3 linked regions of the Nothobranchius furzeri genome follow. The protein of the gene in region 1 interacts with the protein of each later gene in a pairwise test. Links are inferred from orthologs where the notes say so. Each region holds a gene or a part of one and is shown in the gene's direction. Other genes may lie near its edges.

Region 1 (4,273 bases):
GTGTTATTGTTGAGGAGATCGGATAAAAATGACGAGGACAGATGATTTAAACTTTAAAAGTGAGCAATGAGACCATAAAATGAAGCCATGTGTTCATGTTTTAACACCTATTGAAAGACAAGGTACTGGTCAAGGTGTTGATTCTTATCATAGCTGCTTCACATTCGACTGCAAACTACTCCAGCAAAAGCTCAAGATCACGACCCGATGAAGCCAACAGGACTACATCGTGCAAAAATCAGTGACCCTGATCCTTGGGCCACCAAAATGGATTCCCTCAACATCTTGGCTGTGTCTAGAAATCCTGTCCACAAAAGTTATGAACAGAATTGGTGACAAAGGGCAGCCTTGGTGGAGTCCAACTATCACCCAGAACGCTGTTACTGCCAGCAATGCAGACCAAGCTCTGGCACCGGTCATACAGGGACCGTACGGCCCGTATCAAGGGGGCTGGTACCTCATATTCTCATGGTAACCCCCACGGGACTCCCTGGAGGACACGGTTGAACACCTTCTCCAAGTCTACAAAACATATTGGGCTGGTCCAGTGTTCAACAGCCAGGACCAAAACCATATTGTTCCTTCTGAAACCAAAGTTCAACTATCTGACGGACCCTCCTCTCCAGAACCCCTGAATAGACTTTACCAGGGAGGCCCAGTAGTGTGATCCCCCTTTAGTTGGAACACACCCTGTGCTCCCTCTTTTTAAATAGAAAGAACCACCGACCTGGTCTGCCAATCCACGAGACTGCCCCCGATGTCCATGCTGCATGGTGGCACAGTTGTTAGCACTGTTGCCTCGCAGCATGAAGGTTGCAGGTTCGAAACTCAGCTGTGGCCTTTCTGCGTGGAGTTGCGTCTTCTCCCCATGCATGCGTGGGTTTCCTCCAGGTACTCCGGTTTCCTCAACAGATCCCAACATGCCCTATAGGTTATAAATTGTAAGTCGCTTTGGATAAAAGCGTCTCTTAAATGAATAAACATAAACATGTAATATCAAAGTCCCATTAGTTGTCACACTGGTGTGTGAAATTTGTTCTCTGCATTTGACACCCATCCCTGGGGGAGTGGTGAGCTGCAGACAAAGCTGTGCTCGGGAATCGTTTGGTGGTTTATCGCAGAGCCACTTCAACGCAACCCTATATCCAGGAACTCTGGGTGAATCTCATTCTTATCCATCGTGAGACATTGCCATTGAGCAGCTTTTGAATCGCCTTGGTGACCTCAGCGTCATTAATTTGAATTTTTATTATTTATGTACCTTTTCATTGTTGGTATTACTGTTTATGTTGTGTTGTCTGTTGTTTACTGCATTATAAGCAAATACTTTAATTCTGTAATGTTTTCACTGTAAATAAAGTTTGGTTAAAGAACCCGAAACATCTAGTGTTTTTAGACAAGAGGATAGGGGTCTGGTGTTGTTTTGGTACCTTCCCTTTCCCGACAGCAGGGGGCAGTGGTGAGTTGTTCCTCACTGTGCAGCGTGGCGGTGTTGTCAAAAATAAAGATGGCGACGGTACCAGCTGTAGAGTCTTTTCGGCATTCTGTCCGTGACATGGATCAGGATCCGGACTGTTTCGGTGATGGTTCTGGGACCCAGCTGGACTACGGACTGGGTTTTTTGGAGCAAGAGTTTGGCAGCGAACTGATGTCTTTAGAAGCCGTTAGTGAGCTGCTGGAGAAAATGAAAACAGAGACGGCGTTGGTGGAGGAGCAGGTACCGAACCTGAACTTTATTTACTACACGGTGTTTTTAAAGTTAACGAATTAGTGTGTAACAGCGAGCTGTTGTGGTTAAAGTCAGCTGTTTGGTGGCATTCTGGTGGATTAGGTGTGAACCTAAAGCACATTAAATAAGATTTAAACAAATGTTTTCACAATGAAGGAGATGAACTAAATAAAAACTGCTTCAGTGGATAAGACCTCACAGTTCATCATCTATATTTCACTTGATAGAGTTTTAAACATTAAAAGAACTGGAACTCTTGTGCATACATATACAATTTTAATCAAAGACCACTGTGCTGACAGGTCAGGGTTCATAGCCACTAACTCACGGGTTATTAATTTATTCTGCAACCTGAACTCAACCACATTAAATAAAAATGTGTTTTTTTGCAATCTGAAAGATTAGAACAATGTTTTGTCCTTTAGGTTCTGGCTGAATGGGATTGCATTGTTTTTGCTTTCCAGGTTCTGAGTGTGTGCAGTTCTGTTCCTCCCAAAATCTCAGCATCCCTGTCAGCTGCAGAGGAGGTCCGGTGTTCCTTGGAGGACGTGCTGCAGAGAGAACAATCTGTCTCCAGTCAGCTGCAGCAGGTAGAAACTGCAGAAGCTCAACAAAAGAGCAGATTTCAATCTGAAGTAGCAGAACGAACATCAGAGTTGTATTTGATCTATCCCATACAAGATCTGAAACACGATCTGAGCTGAATCATCTATGCTTGTTTAAGGTGTTCTGTGACAATCCCCACTGTAATCCAGGGATGTTTTACTGATGCTGTTAAATATTCTGATCTTCCAGCACCTGCAGGGCACCCGGCAGTTGATGGATGACCTAGGGCAGACATTTAACCATGTAGACTCTATGGAGAAAAGCATGAAGTATCTAAAGTGCCTTCACTACATAGGAGAGCTCAGGTAGGGTGATTAGAGGCTTGGAGACATGTTGGTTGAGGTTACAGTGATGCATCACTGAGGTTTAAAACTGCTCCTCATTTCTGCTGCATAATGTTAATATTATGTGTCTACAGTGCTTCAGTCCAGCAGTTTCTGATGACCAACGGTGTCTGGGAAGCTATAAAAGCTGTAGAGAGCATGGCGGCTCTGGACTCTGGCCTCAACCAGTCAGGATGTTCCCACCTTGTGGAGTTTCTCAGGAAAACGCTTTGTTTCTGGCACAATATCATCAAAGAACAGCTGTCCAGGTATGGCTCCATCAAATCCCAACCAAGACTGGGATGTTTTTGTCTTCTTTCATCTACTGTAAAAGCTGATTCTTTCTTTTTAAACCTCTTTAGTGATTTTGAAAACGCATTGACTCAACTACACTGGCCAATTGTCTCAACAACATCTCAGTCTGCGACACCTCCTGCAGGTCAGGAGGTCAGCAGCCATGTGGAGGAGCTGGTGACTCAGCTGCTGGCCCTGCAGACCTCGTATCCTTCTGGACACAGATCCAATAGGATCTTGGGGACTGTCTCCACACATTCATGTGCTCAGTTTTTTTAACCATGTAAATGTGTTTAGTTTCATCAGGTGAGATGTTTAGCATTATGTCAGGACACCATAATGATCTGACATTTGTCTTTGGTGGTGAGAGAGCAAGGCTTCTAACTCTACACAACCTTTAATCTGTAGTTTTGCATTTGCTCATGAGTTTTTATTTAGTTAGTATCTCACTGGGCTCTGTTAGCGAGACACTGGCATCACCATTCAGAGTGAGTTTTCAGAAGGTTATCCAAACATTCAAGTGTTCTTGGTTCCTTCTTGTGATTCTCAGGGCCTGACTCTGTGCCTAGAAATTTTTAAATGTTCAAAGAATTCTCAAGACAAATTCAGCCAACACAGCCGTTGTAATTAAGTACATAGCACTCATCTCAGACAGAAAATCACAACGTGCTTCACATGGATCAAAACAAATCATAAAGTCATAAAATCATAATGATCTTAAAACAGAAATGGATTAAAATCTGAAAAATAAAGTCTAAAATAATAAAACACCATAAAACAAATGAAAAATTATTACAAATTTGAGTTAAAAATAAGAAAATAAAAGATTTAGGTAAAAGCAGCTTTAAATAAAAGGGTCTTCAGCTGATTTTTAAAAGTGTCCAGACTGTCAATGCTGTGTAAGGATAAAGGAAGATCATTCCAGAGTCGGGGTGCAACAGTCTGGAACTTCTAGAAGGTTCTGGTGTGTGGACCTGAGGGCTCGGGTTTGAGCATAAGGCTTTAACAGTTCAGTAATATAGGGAGGAGCTTGACCATGTAGAGCATTGAAAGTTATAGTCAGTATACTAAAATGAACTCTAAAGTTAACGGGTAACCAGTGGAGAGACATTAGGGTTGTGAGCTCTTGTGTTTGCTCCAGTTAGAAGCCTCACTGCAGAGTTCTGGCCCAACTGAAGGCGGTCAAGGTTTTTCTTGTTAAAACATGTGAAAAGTGTGTTAAAGTAATCTAGTCGGGAGGAGATAAAGGCATGGATGACCATTACAAGTTCATGTTTTGACACCAACCTTCGCAGTTTGGAGATATTTCTTAAATGATAAA
Region 2 (2,751 bases), on another chromosome or scaffold:
AACACACCAAAAAAAATTAAAAATAAAGCACACATTTGCACTAATAAGTGGCCTATTTAGAATGTGATGAAGGTTCTGGCATCCTCAAAGTCTCACATCGCCTCTAGATTCAATAAACCCCCACCAGTTACTCCATGTTTGTTTCTGGGAATAGAGCAAAGTATTTTATGTCAACTTGGTAAGATAAAAAAAAAAACACTGCAAACAGTCTACTGACTAACACACAGTAATTATCTTCAGCCCTCAGCCCTCTGAGAATCATCCATATAAAATGTAAAAAAATCCCCAGCTCCCTTGGGTGTGTAATATCGCCCTGCCAAGAACTGATGTTCAAGTCCAGGCAGCATCATAATTTACATTTTCACACACCCCGTGGCCGCATAGACACACACAAAAAAGTGAGTTATCATATACAAGTGGGGAAAAAAAACTCTTAAAGGGCTTGAAGAGTTATAAATAGGTAGCTGTAAAAGAGATGAATCAGCTAATGGGAAGGGGTGAAGCAAATTATGACTCAACTTTAGTAAGAGCAGCATGTACCAGGCATGTCCGCCGGCCCTTAGAAATCACTTTTACTTTGTGCTTTGCTTGAGTGCAAAAGGTTATCCATTTAATCCCGCAGGAGCGGTCCTGTCTCGCATCGGGTTTAATGGAAAATCTCAATTTGTTCTGAAATTAACTCAAACTGAAAAGAAATATTATAGTTAAACATAAGGAGGATCGTGTGGCTTCAGTGTATGCTCGAGTTTTAAAACACATTAAATGCTGAAGGGCAGTCCTGTGATAATTTTTTATGAAGTGAGCGATCACAACGTGTGTGTGTTTTGTGTTTTAGTTAACATTTTTAATGCCGATTTCTAGCATAAAAAAGAACACAAAATAGGACCCATTACTTCGTTATTTTTTACACAAGTTAGTAAAAAAAAGTTTTTTACCTATGGGAATAAAAATTAAATTTATTTAAACTAAGCCTTGTTAAAAAACACAAAGTAATGGATATTGAAGTTACACACAGAACGAATTCACAAGAGTATACAAATATATGACATATTTAAATAAAACAAATACTAAATTTAGCAAAAAAAATAGTCCTCCTATGTCCCCTAAGCACTGCCTTCAATCTTTCAATTAAATTGAAACGTATGAACGTTTTTTTATTTGTGTCTGTCACATAAAAAGGTTTCAAAGATAAAAGTCTAGCCTAAATGCATTTTACCCTAAAGGCTTCAACTCCCAGAATTCCGTTCGGCTTTACGTAATCAAATTCTGACCAATCACACACGCAGGAGGCCATGACCCGCGGAAATACGGAAAACCAGAATTTTGTGTTGTGAACGCGCTACAAAGTCATTTTTTACGAGTGTAAGTCTGTTTTACCGATGGATGTCACTCCCAAAGGAGACAAATTAAAGACTGAACGGTGTTTATCGTACAGTTCAGCCGAGTCAAGCCCATCGGAGGAGTTTAGAAAGGAAAAGGTGAGTATTGTTAGCTAAAGTGGTGCGTAAACTATTAGCTAACATCATAATCTAAAACACGTTTCAGGCTTGATTCATGTCGGGTTTCTCTGATAGCATCCGAAGCCGAGTTCCTCTCTGAGGGAGAGGCTGAAGAGAACCAGGCGCTCCTTCACATCGCCCCTCTCGGTGGCCAAACGCCTCTGCGTGGACAGCGGAGAGCAGGGTGGCCATCAAGCTTCAGTGGAAACGGGCAGCGATCCTCCGGTCTCGGTACACAACAGGGATAACGCAGGAAGCGAAAGGCTATCCGGACCCACACTTGTCTCCTCTGGAGACGTTGCACAACAACTCAGAAAGGAGGTGAAAGAAAAAACAGAGACTCTGCGCCGACTCAAGATGGTCCAAATGTACAGAAGCAAGGTATCAGCTACTTCTAACCCCATCCTCTTTATTTGTGATCACCAAGGCTGAGAATTAATACGAGTCATTGTTTTTTTAGAACGATTTAACACAGCTGCAAACCTTGATCGACAAGTGGCGGAGCGGTGCTCAGGCTGCTCTGTGTGAGCTGCAGTCAGAGGTCCCTGTGGATGGACGCAAGGCAAGCCTGTCAGAGCTCATGGACCTGTTCAGGCTGGAGGACAGCATTCTGCACTTTGATCGCACTGAAGAGGACTTCACTACATAATTAACCACAAACACACTGAAGAGAAGTCAGCACAACTGCAAGTTTTATTTGGTGTTTCTATAATTCCCGTTCACAATAAAAGTACATTTCATGTTCTAAGTTTTGAAGAAAAGTTTTTAATCAGTAGTGTTTCGGCAGATCAAAACACGGGAAATTCCTCCTCCTCAGATGTTCAACTTCTTCCCAGAGGAACTGCAGTTCCTCTGCCTGTTCCCTGGCAAGGCTCTCCAAGTTACTCCTTTGAACGGTTTCCTGGTAGCAGGCATTTCTCTCAGCATTTTCGTCTGCAGCTATAACTAAAGAGCCACATCATCATTAGAAGGCCGCTCCAGTGTGTGCACTCTGTATCTGAAATGATCGTTTTTCTTATTACCTGTTCCCTTGTCGTTCACAAGCTCTGCCAAAGTCGCCTGCAAGTCAGGAATCTGCTGCTCTAAGCTGAGGCTGTTCTTTGCTTTTTCCTCCGCTTTTTTCTTAAGTAGTGCAATCTTTTTAAACATCTGCTGAGCACTCTGCTGAAGAGTCTGAAATTGAGAATAAATGTGTATTATTTCACTGATGAATATTAAAAAGCACACAGAGCACAGTACAAAGTATTACTTC
Region 3 (4,094 bases), on another chromosome or scaffold:
AAGTTTTTGGACTGTGGGAGGAAGCCGGAGTACCCGGAGAGAACCCACGCATGCACAGGGAGAACATGCAAACTCCATGCAGAAAGATCCCAGGCCGAGAAGCAAACCCAGGACCTTTATATATATATGCATGGTGGCGCAGTGGTTAGCACTGTTGCCTCGCAGCATGAAGGTCGCAGGTTCAAAACTCGCCTTTCTGCGTGGAGTTGCGTGTTCTCCCCATGCATGCGTGGGTTTCCTCCGGGTACTCCGGTTTCCCCCACACATCACAACATGCCCTACAGGTTATTAAAAAAAAACTTGTACGTCGCTTTGGATAAAAGTGTCTGCGAAATGAATAAACATAAACATACACACACACACATATATATATATACACACACACACATATATATATATATATATATATATATATATATATATATATATATATATATATATATATATATATATATATATATAGAAAGAGAGAGATAGAGAGAGAGAGAGAGACTCAAAAATGTAAGCCTAACTAAAATAGGTTGTTTAAAATGTAAATAGTTTGTACTTACAGACACTCCGTATTTAAGGGCCAGGCCCTGCAAAGTCTCTCCCGGTTGGACGACATGTTCCACGACTCTGCGGCGAACCGGAGACTGTGAAGGTCGGATCAAACTGCCGTAAGATCTGGTTCGGCTTCCGCGAAGGAGGCCCCCTCTCCCGGGAGGCGATGGCTCTCGCTCCCCGGACATTTTGGTGTATCATTTGTGTTTAAACCCGTCCAAGGTGCGGCAGAATACAGAGAGCTGTAAACTTTAGCTTTTACCAGAGAAACATGTATGTAAGAACTAGCACACGACCCAACTATTCAAGCTTCTTTCCTTTTTAAACCTGCTATTTTAAGCTTAGCAATACAGCACCTGCAGCACACACAGGGCCTCTGATGTAAAAACCCCGTTAAACTATATGATAAACCTATTTTACACACCTGAAAAGTTATCGTGAACTTGTTAGCATTTTCTCGTATCTCGTGAAGTCAGCAGCAGCAGTAGCAGCTACGCTGGTTGCCATGGCTGCCTGGGCTGGTCACATGATTCTTAACAAACGGTGCGTTTAATACAATACGAATAACAGAAATCACTTTAAAGTTGTTCGAATTCGTTTTAGGAGTACCTAACGTTTAAACTGTTTCTGCACTTGAGCAGTCTTTTTTAATGATAATTATGAGCGACAAATAATGGATATGATTCAGAAATGTTTGTGCACACTTTAGTTCAAAGCTGAACTCCGTTCTAAATTTGGAGGTTAGAATTTCCCATGCGTCGATTCTTCTGTGAACGCATCAGCAGGGCTAGCCTAGCATTGACAAAAAGCAGCTAATCTGGTTCCAACTTCAGTTTAAGAGTATATGTCATAGCAATGTCTTTTAAAAGAGAGGGGAATGACAAGAGTCAACTCAACATTCTTAAGGTTAAATATTGTTTTATACGTTGTCTGTTTCATTAAATATTATACGTTTGTGTAGTTAGCATCATGTTAGCATCCTGTTAGCTTCCTGTCCTGGGAGCACTCACTATTTCAACTTTGTTGACATTTTTCAGAAAAGGCGTGTGGCCGATCTGCTGTCTCATTTTATTCCTGAAGACGAAGCTGCGCTGCTGAAAAATGGAAGGTGAATTTCGGCTTGACTCACGTTCGGAAAAGAAACAGACATGTTGTTACATTAATAACTGAAAACGTGTGTGGTTTTTTAGATATACTTGTCTGGTGTGCTCCTACCGTCCCGTGTTTGATACGGTTGATGTGCTGACCGTCCACAGGCAAGGGAAGAAGCATCTAGAAGGTAAAAGTGAGCTTAAATGTGTCATTCCCTGTGGGTAAGGGATGAGGTTTGGAAGAACTTTTCTAAGTCAGGTGTTATGATTTTCTTACATTGTCTGACATCAAAGAAACACTTGAAAGTATCTGATGATATTGTGGGAAGACAATAGAACATACAGTCTGATCAATTTGTTTATTACAAATCATTAAAACAACAGCACGTGGTTTTTACTCAAAATCCAAGAACTTCACCCTGAGTTAAAGTATGGAAGAGGATTAAGGCCACTGAAAATAAAACATATGAAAAGAAAGACATCAGATTTTTCCCCTCAGAAATCTGGCTTTAATCTCAGAATTATTAAAGTCACAATCAAGAAAAAAGTCAGAATTCTGAGAAAAATGCCAGAAATCAGAGATTAACTCATTAACTGCCATTGACGACTAAAGTCGTCATTTGCATTTTTTTTACTATGTGGGCGTCGGAACGAGCCCCCGCACCGTGAGAACAAACATTCCAGCTATAAGCTGATCTTCATTCGTGTACGTCACACGCCACGTGATCAGGAAGCAGAAAATCCATGTGTTAGGAGATCGTTTTGGGCCACAGCTGTAAAAAAATAAGTGAGGCGCAAACCGGAAAAGCTTCTGCCGATCACAGTTCGACTACAGATTATGTAAGAATGGATAACACTCGAAACATGTAGATTCTGAAGAAGAAGAAGAAAATATCATTTCTATGGCGCCTCTCAAGATAAAAATCACGAGGCGCTTCACAAAAACAAAAAAATGTAAAAAATATAAAAAAGCATTTAGAAAATGTTTAAAAATTTATTTCAAATGAGCAAAAATAGACAATTGGGATTTAAAAGAAAACAATTTTAAGAAAGAGAGAGTGAATAGGAAAGAGGGAAATCAGTGGATCCTGAGGAAGGTGGAATAGGTGGGGAGAGCAGAATAAAGAGAGAGGGGTTGAAGAAGGCCATACAAAAGCCAGCTTGAACAAGTGAGTTTTCAGCTGCTTTTTAAAGGAGTCCACTGATCTCAGGCTCAAGGAGAGAGAGAGTTCCAGAATCTGGGGGCCACAGCAGCAAATGATCTGTCACCTTTGGTCTTTAGACTGGTGCGTTGCACAACCAGTAGGCTTTGATCACTGGACCTCAGGGACCTGCTGGGGGTGTAGGGACTAAGAAGATCACCAATGTAAGATGGTGCTTGTCCATGTAAGGCCCTATAGACCAGAACCAGAATCTTGAAATGAACCCTGATTCTGCCTGATGTAAGAGGTGAGTCTACTCTTCGTTTTGTTAGTTTTGGCGTTGACATCATCCTAGAGCACAACGTTCATTGACTCTTAAAGAAACAGTAGAAACACTGAAAAACGCTGGCTGCGAAGGGCTTTTCTGATCAGAGAATGGCAGGAGTGTGTCCAGGGAGTGCCCTGGGGTAGCAAATGCCACCCTTGAAATCCCAGGTGCCACCCCACCGAGTTCCATATAAATTGACTTTACATTCTCCACAAAAGGCTTAGGGTTACAATACAATAACCATAGGGGCCACTCGTGCATAAACAAGTGCCCCACCTGGGCCACCCCATTTTAAAGAGCTTGGACACGCCACTGGAGAACGGCTGGCAGTTAGTGAGTTAAAGTCAGAATTCTTTTTTTAAATTTTTTTTCTTCAGTGGCCCTAATTATCTTCAGTATTAGAAAAGACAAAACAAAAACAATCCATAATTACTTGTATACCAAAAAGTGTTTAAAAACCTGAGCAACAAAGAATTAACAGCTGTAAATTAATCATATGCAACTTGTGATGCATTTTAAATATCAAAATGCATACTAAAAAGGGGTTAATAGCTTGTTTTGATTATCGATATTAACATCGCTACACCACTGTACTATAGTTACAGTGGGAGTCATGGCATGGGTGGGGACTTATTTCATTCACACTTCCTGTTAGGAAAACACTTCTGAAAGAGGTGTCACCTGGTGGACCAAGAGAGCGACTCAGAGGCAGTGATAGACAGCACTCCCCTCAACCCCCTCTGCGTGCGCTGTCGGAGTTTCTCTGTCGAAAAATTAGTCATTAACAAGTGCACACGCATGCTCACAGTAGACTTACCTTTCTGCAGTATTCTGGAGAATTTCCTGTTAACTGCGATCATTAGATGAAAAGGGGAGGAGGGCTTTTTTTTAAGGAGGCGAGCGATTCAAAGGCTCTTTAAAGGGACTTTATGGAGTTTTGAATTTTTATGCTCGCGATTGCCCCCTCAGGCCAAAAGCGTAACGGCAGCT

The links.
Region 2: the proteins of rint1 (region 1) and sfr1 interact in binary tests that used the Homo sapiens proteins (3 or more experiments, as listed by UniProt). The two-hybrid records come from large-scale screens. The link is inferred for Nothobranchius furzeri from reciprocal best matches to the Homo sapiens genes RINT1 and SFR1.
Region 3: the proteins of rint1 (region 1) and scnm1 interact in binary tests that used the Homo sapiens proteins (3 or more experiments, as listed by UniProt). The two-hybrid records come from large-scale screens. The link is inferred for Nothobranchius furzeri from reciprocal best matches to the Homo sapiens genes RINT1 and SCNM1.

Annotation. Positions count from the first base shown.
Region 1 is NC_091741.1:64,278,012-64,282,284, reverse strand, and holds the start of rint1 (RAD50-interacting protein 1), read left to right. Parts: upstream 1-1,472; 5' UTR 1,473-1,507; coding exon 1,508-1,717; intron 1,718-2,193; coding exon 2,194-2,319; intron 2,320-2,524; coding exon 2,525-2,640; intron 2,641-2,753; coding exon 2,754-2,927; intron 2,928-3,020; coding exon 3,021-3,158; intron 3,159-4,273. UniProt on the Homo sapiens protein: Involved in regulation of membrane traffic between the Golgi and the endoplasmic reticulum (ER); the function is proposed to depend on its association in the NRZ complex which is believed to play a role in SNARE assembly at the ER.
Region 2 is NC_091752.1:33,773,768-33,776,518, forward strand, and holds sfr1 (swi5-dependent recombination DNA repair protein 1 homolog), read left to right. Parts: upstream 1-1,253; 5' UTR 1,254-1,379; coding exon 1,380-1,478; intron 1,479-1,574; coding exon 1,575-1,880; intron 1,881-1,959; coding exon 1,960-2,148; 3' UTR 2,149-2,247; downstream 2,248-2,751. Other genes in the region: cfap43 (cilia- and flagella-associated protein 43), read right to left, coding at 2,269-2,444, 2,522-2,672. UniProt on the Homo sapiens protein: Component of the SWI5-SFR1 complex, a complex required for double-strand break repair via homologous recombination. Acts as a transcriptional modulator for ESR1.
Region 3 is NC_091745.1:65,775,977-65,780,070, forward strand, and holds the start of scnm1 (sodium channel modifier 1), read left to right. Parts: upstream 1-1,290; 5' UTR 1,291-1,398; coding exon 1,399-1,449; intron 1,450-1,580; coding exon 1,581-1,651; intron 1,652-1,733; coding exon 1,734-1,822; intron 1,823-4,094. Other genes in the region: lysmd1 (lysM and putative peptidoglycan-binding domain-containing protein 1), read right to left, coding at 552-731. UniProt on the Homo sapiens protein: As a component of the minor spliceosome, involved in the splicing of U12-type introns in pre-mRNAs. Plays a role in the regulation of primary cilia length and Hedgehog signaling.